Drosophila melanogaster: one gene and its partners. The main gene of each other region encodes a partner of the protein of the gene in region 3 in a complex. Each region holds a gene or a part of one and is shown on either strand. Other genes may lie near its edges. The genes, in order: Nprl3, Wdr59 and mio.

Region 1 (3,755 bases), on a different chromosome or scaffold from region 3:
GAGGGGTGTGCCAAATCGAAATATGATTTTAATACTGATTTAGATAATCTCCTTAGAAACTCGAGCAAAACAAACTAAAAACAACTTGAAATTTAACAAAACAATTGCTTCGGGTTGGCAACTCTGTGCGAGGGGCATAATACGCACATCTACCTTCACGTTGCACAAAACGGAATCGAAAGCAAAACAAATGAACCCGCAAAGCTGTGCGAGCGAGCACGCTATACTGACGGTTAGTTGAAAAAAGAATATGCAATCAAATATGGCGACACACAGTATGCAAAAAAAAAAACCATACAAAATCGACGCATCAACAAATGAAATATTTATTTAACTGGCTCGACTCAAAATAAAATCTGAATTTCATATATATGTGATCCAATAGATATGTATAACCCATTCGACTGTATATTTTTCGATTCAAAATATTTCCGATTTGGGCGCGCACTCACATACAAACACACACACTAGTTTTACTCACCGTTTACTCTGTTATTTTGAATTTTCACTTCATTTTGCACAACTTAATTTAATTTAACGACAAGCTACGTGGTTTATTTTTTATTTCGAAACTTTATATTTCAATTTTATAAATACAAATTAAATTTGTATACACTTTAACACTGGTTCTTTTTTGTTCCGTTGCACATTGTTGATTTGCAGCATTTAAGTGATGGCGCGACGTTGTTTCGAACGTTTACTACCTGCACAAATTAAAATGTTTCTACTTTGATTAATCAATTTTATTATTATTAATACCGTATGGCACAAGAAGCAGAAGACAAAACGCGCAGGAAAACACATAAACTGGGATTGCTTAAGACGTGTGTAAGAGCGAGACGACCAGTCGGTTTGAGCAGACCATATAGCTAGTGTGACCGTTCTAGCCTATGGACAAGACATGCCAACTGACTATTATCGCCTATTTTATTTTGTTCGCCTGCCCTGCTTCTTCTTCTTGGTTTTTGTGTTGCGCTGTTTCCCTGTTTAGCCTATTACTACTGCGCCTGGCCATTCCGAAATGCTGTACGTACATATTTCGATTTCGCCTTTCCGCCTATTCGTTGATACCCACACAAACGTATATCTGTGCATGCCTTTCTACGTAGGTATGTGTAAAATCTATACACACGGATGTTGGCGCACATATACACAAAAAGTAAAATAGTTATGTTATTAACTATTTAACCACAAGCTATTTACATTTTAGGCACTTATTAATCCTATTTTCCAAAATACAAGGAATAGATACAGAAACGAAGACATAGTAGAAAAACAAACCTACAAGTAAATGACAATTAGTTGAAATTAACTTATTGGCCACCATACTGCCGAAGAGTGCGAAACTAATTCAGAAGCGAACCACTCAGCCAAGTAAACTATATTTTTTTGTAGAATTAGTTATACCTCTCCTACACTCACACAAATATTATATATATGTATATATAGACCGCGGCTAGTACACGTTTAGCGTCGTCTCGCTCCCACCTACGATCCGCACGTATTTTGCCTCTCACAATGTGTGTGTTTTCCTCTTTTCCAACACGCTAATAAGAAATCGTCATTTTTAAAAGTGCTTTTACAGCCAAACTAACATGTTTCACAGGGGAATTTCATAGTTCTGCGATTGCCGCGTTCGCATACTACGCTCCCAGTTATTTTCACAAATTTTTTGTTGACGTTTCGAGCACAATTTCCACACGTTTTGCTCACAACTTTCCGCTTCTAAAAAATTAGAGACTGACCAACCGAAGACGGTCACACTACAGCGGAGCGATAGATCGTTATCGCTCGACCAGGGATCCTATACTATTAGCCTTGCCGATATATATTTATTTATATAGTAAGACCGTTTTTCGTTTAGTATTTTTTAGTTTTTGAATATATTATCTAAGGTATCTATGGTAAATTTAAACGATTTAAAAAAATTCCATTGCGTTGCATTTATATTATTGTTTCGCCTGCAAAATGAAAACTGACATGACTACTATTTTAAATAAGTTTTTGGTATTTTATGCAAACTAAAAGAGAGCCACACTGCTGTAAATATATTTTATATTTTACATTTATTTACTTTGCTTCCATTTCTCAATGAAGTCAAATTGAGGTACTAATAAATAAATAAAGAGTTGTTGAGGTAGTTTCTGTAGCAAACTACGATTTATAAAGTATTTTTGAAAACATAGCCAACTATTTGTTGACCCTGACCCCAGTTGATAATGCAAATGTTCATATTTTAATTTACATAAAAGGGGAAGTGTCTGTGTGCCATGGAAACTAATGTGAATCCCCTGGCCGTAATCCTGGTTTACTTCGATAGCAAGGGGGATCGGTTACTGTACAGGTATCCGTACCAGACTCTCGGCCAAACGGAGGTGGCCAACGACGAGCAGCGGAAGTCCAGGTACTACCTATTAATTCAAAGGGCACTCAGCTTGACTATACCGATTTATTCAATCACAGAAAGCGCAATCCCTATGCCGTGGCCAATACGGACGATCTGCTGCAGACACCCACCCACTTGGGTGCTGCCAAGAGCCAAGGACAACTGCAGGGATTCGCAGATGAGGTCCTGTCCGCTCTGTTTGCTGTTAAACCACAGCTATGCAACCAAAAGTTTGAACTCAAACTGAACGACGTACGCTTTGTCAGTCATCCCACTCTGATACCGCAAAAGGAGCAGAGAAGTGGTCCAATGGCCAAGCAACAGATGCTCATCAACATTGTTTTTGCGCTGCATGCACAGGCCAGCTACTCGATTGTTAAGTGCTACCACGAACTGAGCAAGCGCCTTGGACTGGCGCTGAAGTTCGAGGAGCAGCGCAGTGGCTATCTCACCGAGCAGACGGCTCAAATGGCTCGCACACACGACGAGCAGCAGCAACAGCCGCTGGAACGCACACTGGAGCTGATTGCAGAGCGCTGCAGCTTGGCACAGGCCTTGCGCTCCATCTTCCATGATCTATGCACCACTGGACTGCTGAGTACCTCGCTGAATCACAACCTAACGTTGTGCTTCTGTCTGCCCGCTAAGGCACACCAGCTCCATAAGAAGGGCAGCATGGTGGATCCAGAGACCATAGATCGGTGCCTTCGTGCACTGAAGCCCTATCATGGCATGTTGCTGCTGGTCGACTTTGCCGAATTGTTGGACTGCGTTCCACCGACTGGGGCACGCATGCTATGGCAGCTAGTCGACGTCTACGACCCACTGATCAGTCTGCAGAGCATGTCCTCCAATGCAGACTTGAGTATCGAGCATGTTTATAAGCTCGTCTCGCATTTGGTCTACTGGGCTAAGGCAACTATTATTTATCCACTCTGCGAGACAAATGTCTATGTGATCGCGCCGGATGCACCATTGCACACCAAGTCCCACCTGGTGGAGAAGTTCTCGGCCCGTTTTGCCGGTATGTCGCTGTTCGAGGTGATCTCCGATTTTTCATTGCCCACTTCAATTGGACACTTAACCACGCCACTGCAGCAGCCAGCGCGACAGGGTATCCTCGCACAAATGGTGATTTGGATGCTGCAGCACCATTTGCTCATGCAGTTGCACACGTACGTTCAGTTTATGCCCAGCGAGGATGAATTCGGAGATTCGGCCTCCTGCAGCAACCATCTAAGGGATGCCATTAGCGATGAAGAAGGAGACCAAGAACCAGATGCGGACGAGTTGCATGGCTCCATGCTTAGCATGTCCAGTCATCCGTTGCCAGTGCCAGCGGTATTGGTGGGCGGACATCGTCGTGAGG
Region 2 (3,755 bases), 8.9 Mb from region 3:
GGAAACGCTACCAGCAACTGGGTTATCGCTCCATTTTCGCCGAGGATGTGGCAATGCTCTCGGCATTCAATTACAATCAAAATGGGTTCCGAAAGCAGCCAACGGATTATTATCTGCGACCCATGATTATGGAAATGGAAAAGACTGTGGCCTTCAAGAAGGACCTCAACATGCACTTGTGCATGGGCAGCCGGAGGACGGCGGATGTGCTGCTCGAGTATATGAAGAAATTGGTGCCACGAATGAGCAGGGATCTTTACTTTTCATTTTTTTGGACGGTGGCCCTAACCCATGACTATTTTAATTTCCCCTCACTACTGGATGAGGCCATGTTGCAACAGTTGATGCAGCTGCAAGATTCCGGATTGCTCAATCGCACGGTGGTAATGTTGCTATCCGATCACGGACTGAGATGGGGTTCCTTTCGTCGTACCTACCAGGGCATGATGGAGGAGCGCCAGCCCCTAATGATGCTTTTGTATCCGCCATGGATGACCGAGCGTTATCCGGAGGCAATTGCCAATCTTAGGTTAAATGCCCGCCGGCTAACCACACCATTTGATGTGCACGCGACAATGTTGCAGCTGCTAAATCTTCACAATCTGGAGGCAGATCAGTTGCAACGCAGATCAACAGAGATGGACGAGCCGGATAGCACGCTGCCCAGAGGCATTAGCCTATTCCTGCCCATCCCGGCTGCTCGGACCTGCGAGCAGGCAGGGATTGCCGCCCACTGGTGCACCTGCCATCAGCGCCAGGAGCTGCAGACAAACGATCCACGTGTCCAGCGGGCGGCGCGCTATCTGGTACGCTTGATCAATAACCGACTGAAGGATAGCTCACAGTGCAGAACCCTATACCTGAACTCCATACTCCAGGCTCTGATTGCAGCGCCGCACTCGAAGATTGTGAAGAACATTTCCACGGACTACGCAGTGGACATCACCCTGCGACTGCAGACGAAGCCCGGGCTGGGTGTGTTTGAGTCCACGGTGCGGATGACGGGCTATACGACCGTACTAACGGGCACCATTAGTCGTCTGAATCTGTACGGAAGCCAGAGCTACTGTCTCAACGATCCGGCGCTAAAAATGTTCTGCTATTGCCACAGATAAGGCAATGGCAATGTAACTGGGAGCTTTCGGGGATGGGGAGGATGTGTTTGACGTCAAAGACTTGAAACCCATTAACGTAGCCTTAGCCATAAAACCTAGTTTATTTCTATGAAATAGCCAATGTTTGTATAAAAATACTTATCCAATTTTAGCCTTTGCCGTAAGGAGTTCCCAGTCTTAGGCACCTATGTAGTCACGGTAGTTGAGCGGAATTTGTTTATTTCCCACTAACTTAGAGGACAATAAACTGAATGAACTAATAATCGTAATAACCGCAGAATTACTTTGTGTATGTAAAATAAATGATAAGCTATTACTGACTAGGGAGGGAAGTGGCGAACATATAAATAAATAATAGTATCCAAAATATGTAGCACTTAATGTTGTAGACCATAATTGAGTTGTTATATACATATATAATGCACTTTTTGTTTAGTATCTCATGATTTATAGCCTTATGCTGAGTTAATAAATGAATAATAGGATGAACTTTTTATAAATGAGTCAATTGGGAATATCCCTTTCTAGTTACAAATTTATTTAGATGCTAAATTATATTTAGCCACGTACTTTAATAATTTTCATAACATTTATGAACCAATGCACATGTATATTTTTGGTGATTGACAATTTATAAAATGTAATAAATCTATAAAAAAAATCGAACGTTTTTATTTAACAAGACCATATATATAAAATTATAAATTTTGCTCTGAGCTCGTTTACCTGTTTTATATCATAAATTCAAATCCCGATAGCTATAACCACAATTTTATCGATACTATCGAAAAAACAACATTTTCAGCTATAGTTGTGCTGTCGTTATTCCAGCTAGATTTATGGGTGTTACAAACTTTTGCGACAAAATATTAGGTACAATTTTTTCATATAATGTTCTAGTTTAATTTTGTAATTTTTTTAATATATTATCAAAAACTATAGCAACAGCATTATTGAAAAATAGCCAGCTTAACGAGGTCCTGGAAATTCATTTGTCGGAAAAAATGCTTAATTGCCAACACAGACGCCTGTTGTTATTGTCTATCGTTCTTATCAGTTCAGTTTCTTCGTTTAATTTTTGTTTGTTGCAAAAATGGTTTAAATTCGCAGTCTTTTGCTTTTTGAGCACTTATTAGAGTAGGACAATATGCCGCCCACGGAGACACTGCGTCCGGGAGAACGCGGAACAGCCGGTGGACCGGGAGCAGGAGCACCCGAACAAACGTACATCGTCAGGCAGAGCAACAAATACTATGAACACCGAGATTCCCAGGCCACGGCCATGTCGGTTGATTACTCGGGTCAGTGGGTGCTCCTCGCGGGCCGTGGTCACCTGGCTTTGCAGCGTTTGGGACAGGACGATGGGTCTCTGCGACGACATGAACGGCAATCGAAGTACGAGGTGTCCGTAGCAGAGTTTGCCATATGTCCCAGTCGCAAAGAGTACTGCGCCATAGCGGTAAATACATAAAGTTATCTACGTATAGGCGGCGTTTATCCCAGTTTGACCTTTGAATTTCAGACTAGCCAGCACATAGACATCGTTCGCTGGGGCACTGCGGAACCACACTACGAGATGTCCTTGCGTGGGCATACTCGAACAGTGACCGACATTGACTGGCACGGCAAGGATCCGAATCTGCTGGTCAGCTGCTCAATAGACACATTTTCTCATATTTGGGACTTAAGGGAGCCCAGGAAACCAGCCCTGTCCTTGAATGCCGTGTGCATGTGTAAGTTTCTACAAAATAATTTCAACTTTTTTATATTATATTTAAAATTCTTTCAGCTGGTGCTACACAAGTGGGATTCAACCGCGTTTCGGGCAACCTTTTGGCTGCTGCCCATGATGGAGATTTACGCATCTGGGATATTCGCAAGGGTAGTTGCCCGACGCACTATATCACAGCACATTTAAATAGAGTGCATGGCATCAATTGGAGCCACAAAAGGGAGACCTGCTTGGCAACCGCCAGTCAGGATGGAACGGTCAAGTACTTTGATGTATGTAATCCTCGCAGGGCCGAGAAGATCATTACAACCATGTCGCCCGTTTGGAGAGCGAGATACACGGTAATTTATATTGGTTTATCAATATTGATTGCTATTCTAAATACATCTTGTTCCATACAGCCTATTGGCAACGGTCTGGTTAGCATTGTGGTGCCCCATTTGGGACGCGGAGAGAATAGTTTGCTGCTCTGGAGCAACAGCAAGCAAACGGACCCTATTTGTTCCTTCGTGGGGCACACCGATGTCATTCTTGACTTTGCCTGGCGTCCAAATCGTGAAAGTTCCAATGAAATAGTAAGTATTTTAAAGATACCACAATGTTCTTACTTATGCATTGAGCTTTAATTAGGAACTGGTCACTTGGTCCAGGGATCGCACGCTGCGGGTGTGGAAGATCGATGATAATATGCTAAAGCTTTGCGAACCGTCTGCGGAAGAAATAGAATCCCGTTTCGAGCCCGATCTCAGTGAGTTAAGAGTGCCTACTCCTCCAGAATTCCTGCATCCACGATCAATTTTGGTTGCCGCTTCGTTGCCCATATCCACGGGTGACGGTGCTTGTAATACCTTGCCCATGGCTCGCTCCCCGAGCTTTGGAGGTGGCTACTATCGCAGGGAAGAGCCCCA
Region 3 (3,755 bases):
GTCGATCCTCGCTGTAGACATTGTTCAAAGTGGACCACACATTTCGCAGATACGGTGTCAAGTGGAGTTCGCCGAATCGCTTGTTATCGGGTTTGATGCCGTAATCCTCTAGAGCGCGCTGACGCGTCTCGTCCACCAGATCCAGCTCAAAGAGTTCCGGTTTCAGCAGGTCCACATTGAAGGGCGAACCACCAGGAGTGCTAAAGTCCAGGGAACTCCCGCTATTCGTGCTGCAGCTGCTCGTGGGCTGCTGCTGAGTGGGCGTGGCCGCAGTGGAAGTCGGCGAGGCGGGTGTGTAGAGCGGACGCTGCATCAGAAGTGGCAATTTCCGGCGATTGCTGTGCGCCGTGTGCAAGGTGGCTGGCAGTCGAAAGTCCAGGATGTTCAGCGCATCTGCCAAAAGCAGAGCTCTCTCGAAATCCCTCGAATGCCACGACAGGCAATTAACAAACGAAAACTTTCCACTGTGCTGGTATCTAGCCGGAAAGGGGCTAATCTGTCGTTTTACGTGGTAGATCTCTCCGGAATTGTCCGTGTCCACACTCCGGATGTCGTAGAGAGTGATGTAGGAGGAATCGCGTTGCAGCGAGGAAAGCAGGCTTGTCCTGGTCGGACACCAAGCGATCTGCAAATGGTTTTTCGAGGACTGAATCTGCCTGAGGGGACTCTTGATATTTCGCGGATCCCACAGAGTGATCACCGAGTCCACATAGCTGCAGAGATAGTTGCCATTGGGGGATACGGAAAGTCCCTGCACTGTCTTTGTTTGAATGCTTTGACAGGTGGCGTTACTCTCTGCGAAAGGGATTTAAAGATTTCATCAGTGAAAGGGCAATAAAGTAATACTACGTAGTTGAAATATAACCAGTCGCATTATGTGTACTCACGCCTCAGATCGAACAGCTTTATCATCTTCTGGCTCATTCCCGCAATGACCGTGCGATGATTTCGATCCCAGCAAATGGAGTTGGCCGACTCGCCGACGCCGAAGAAGTTGGCCGTCTCCTTGGGAACTCCACGCTCAATGTCCCAGATGGTGATGCAGGTGTCATTTCGATGGCGATCGTGTCCAATGGCCAGGATATTGGCATCCAGCTCGTTCCAGGCGAGGCAGGTGCACATGCGCTGCTGACGCGGTGCTACGAGAAATGAAGAACTATTAGATGCAGCTAAGAATCGGCGTTGTCGTCCACCCACTGTACTCCCAGCTGCTGTCGTAGGTGTCCCGGAAGTTGCAAATCCCGACTTTGCCATCCGCCAGACCCACTGCAATTATGGGCTGGTCACTGTGGTAGGAGGCGGCCACGCAGCGGGCATATTGATAGCGCGACTCGTTGGCGAGGTAGTTCACGGATATATAAGGCAGGCGACCTGCAAGGGGGGCGGTTAAGTAAAGTGGCATAATCCCTTGGGGAAAACCCTACTTTTTTGGCTGTGATCATCTTTGCGGCGCACTTCGTATAAATGGATTTCCTGGCCCCAGGATACGAATTTGTCGGGAAAATGTGGAAACCAGCTGAGTCCGTGTGTATTGCCGCTCATCGTGGCCGATTTTCCATCGATGTAAAAAAAAACAATTTTCACTACAGACTAAATTGCGTCGCGTTATCAGTTTGCAAAAACAAAAACGTGAGATAAACACTGCACTACATGGCAAGAAGAAGAGGCGCACACACACTAGCCGGTCGACCAGCTGTTGGCCGCATGTTAGCCAGCACTGGCCCAGTTCGATAATTCGTTTTATCGATAAGCTGGTAGGTGATTTTGTTTTCCTTTTTTTTTTGTAAGAAAGCAAACGTGTTTAATATTTACAACTCCCACTTAAAATGCTGCGCAAAACACCAAAACCTGCAATTTGGAAATTCATCAAAGGAAGTGCCAAAACACTGTTTGTCCTCGAGGCAGTCTGCTTCGCAGCCAGCTACGGCGTTTATTATCGCATGAACACGAATCGAGGTGGGAGGATATTTATATAATTATTTTGATCGTTAATAACAATCCGCTCCTAGAGTTTCGTCAGCATATTCACGAGAACTATCCCTTCGTTTTGGACTATTACTACAAAATTGGTGAAATCGTCGGAGACAGCACAGTGCGACAGGCGGATGCGAGTTATTGGAGTGCTTTGAAGAAAAGCGACTAGAGGAGACCGCTTCCAAAATGCTTAGTAATCCCTACTTTAAGTCCGTTTTGTGGCTGATTGGCTTCGGAGGAATGGGGTACGGCCTAATGGTGTTAACCGAGCCGAACGTCGACAAGTTAGAGCGCATCAAAGCCTCCGTTTCAAGTACCAAACTGAGTGCGGATGAGCAGCGAAAGGCTCTGTTTATGAAGAAGCTCCAGGAGGCGTCCACCACCAGTGCCCCAATCTACAGGTCATCGTCCGAGAAATAGGATAGTTAGGAAGCTTAATCGTCATCAATTTATCAATTTGTTATACTTTTTAAATACAAATGTTAAGCATTTAATCTTAATTGGTTGGGTAGGGTGATTCATTAGAAGAAAATTCGATTCGTACAAGAATGCGAAATAGGAAAAAGGAAATAAAATTACTAAATTGTTAATATTCACGTTTTAAATGTTTACAGAGCCCTTACTACTTCTGTTACTTTTAACATAATCTGTTAGGAATCTTGACCACCCCTACTCGCAGTGCTCGTAAACGTCCGATTCTTAACAGCGAATCTAATCTAAGCGCAATTGCATTTTAATGGTAATTTAATTGCCATTATTGACAGAGTTTATGGCAACGAAGACGCACACAATGTCCGCGGGGGATGTCCCCTTGGTGGCGATGGCCAAGGTTCCGCCGACCATTCAGTTTGAGGCCACAAAGAACTTTCACTCGCACACCGAGCAGAAGGAATTGGACAGTGCTTTCCTGGGCTACAATCGACGTCCTTGGGTTCGCCAAAAGGCTCACAGGGACACACGCCGGGAGAGGGAGATCCTCAACGGTCTACTGTGCTCTACCAGCGTGGAAACGGACTACGCCAGCACCTGTGTGGACAAACTTATTGCCGAGAACATTAACTATCTGGATTTGGCCTCTCTCACCGACGAAGATTTGGAACTCTTCGGGTTCAAGTGTCGAAAGCAACGGCAACAGCTCCTGGAGATGTTCGAAAAGATTCCCAACCAGAATCCCAGTTACGAATACATTTGCAACCATCCTGAAGCCGAAAACTACAACAATCAGATTCTGGGCAATGCTGGCAACCACTTTATGTCCCTGCGCGCTTCTTTAGCGGCCACCAACTACAAGCTGCAGGTCTCCACTCCCGAGGACGTCGTGGTGGGCGACAAACGATATGCCAGCTGCTTTGCCCAGGAAACTCTAAAAAGCGTGAATCAGATCACCGAAGAGATTGCCAAGGATCTCGCGAAAATCGAAGCTAATGCCCAGAACGCAAGGAGCCAGAAGAAAGTGCAGGGCAACGAGAGTCACAAGAAGGTGAATATAGCAAGCAATAAGAAATTATTTTCCTTTATACAAATTTGCATTGCAGAAGAAGTGGAGCCTGGCTACTATTTTGTATTACACCACCTTGGCTGTGGGATTTTCGTGCGCCTGGTTCTGGTGGTGGACCAAGTTCCGCAGCGCTCCCCGACTGGAGCGGATCTCCGTTCAGACTTAAAAAAAACGCACAACGATGCATTTAATAGTTACATTCCGATTTTCTCATAGGACCTAAGTTTATAGAATTTACTTATTACTTCTTTAAGCATTCGCTTAATCTAAAGCTGTAATGAAG

What was found.
Region 1: mio (region 3) and Nprl3 share a complex: the UniProt entries of both Drosophila melanogaster proteins name them as parts of the GATOR complex.
Region 2: mio (region 3) and Wdr59 share a complex: the UniProt entries of both Drosophila melanogaster proteins name them as parts of the GATOR complex.

The regions. Positions count from the first base shown.
Region 1 is NT_037436.4:14,000,142-14,003,896, reverse strand, and holds the start of Nprl3 (nitrogen permease regulator-like 3), read left to right. Parts: upstream 1-2,016; 5' UTR 2,017-2,107; exon of another isoform or gene 2,108-2,252; 5' UTR 2,253-2,270; coding exon 2,271-2,404; intron 2,405-2,463; coding exon 2,464-3,755. UniProt on the Drosophila melanogaster protein: An essential component of the GATOR subcomplex GATOR1 which functions as an inhibitor of the amino acid-sensing branch of the TORC1 signaling pathway.
Region 2 is NT_033779.5:11,089,305-11,093,059, forward strand, and holds the start of Wdr59 (WD repeat domain 59), read left to right. Parts: upstream 1-2,139; 5' UTR 2,140-2,262; coding exon 2,263-2,574; intron 2,575-2,637; coding exon 2,638-2,848; intron 2,849-2,904; coding exon 2,905-3,188; intron 3,189-3,248; coding exon 3,249-3,422; intron 3,423-3,477; coding exon 3,478-3,755. Other genes in the region: CG16854 (uncharacterized protein), read left to right, coding at 1-1,115. UniProt on the Drosophila melanogaster protein: A component of the GATOR complex, which functions as a regulator of the amino acid-sensing branch of the mTORC1 signaling pathway.
Region 3 is NT_033779.5:2,215,214-2,218,968, reverse strand, and holds the start of mio (missing oocyte), read right to left. Parts: upstream 1,680-3,755; 5' UTR 1,543-1,679; coding exon 1,425-1,542; intron 1,372-1,424; coding exon 1,198-1,371; intron 1,140-1,197; coding exon 888-1,139; intron 796-887; coding exon 1-795. Other genes in the region: CG42371 (uncharacterized protein), read left to right, coding at 1,827-1,956, 2,010-2,143; CG15386 (uncharacterized protein), read left to right, coding at 2,161-2,394; daed (daedalus), read left to right, coding at 2,744-3,454, 3,510-3,638. UniProt on the Drosophila melanogaster protein: An essential component of the GATOR subcomplex GATOR2 which functions as an activator of the amino acid-sensing branch of the mTORC1 signaling pathway.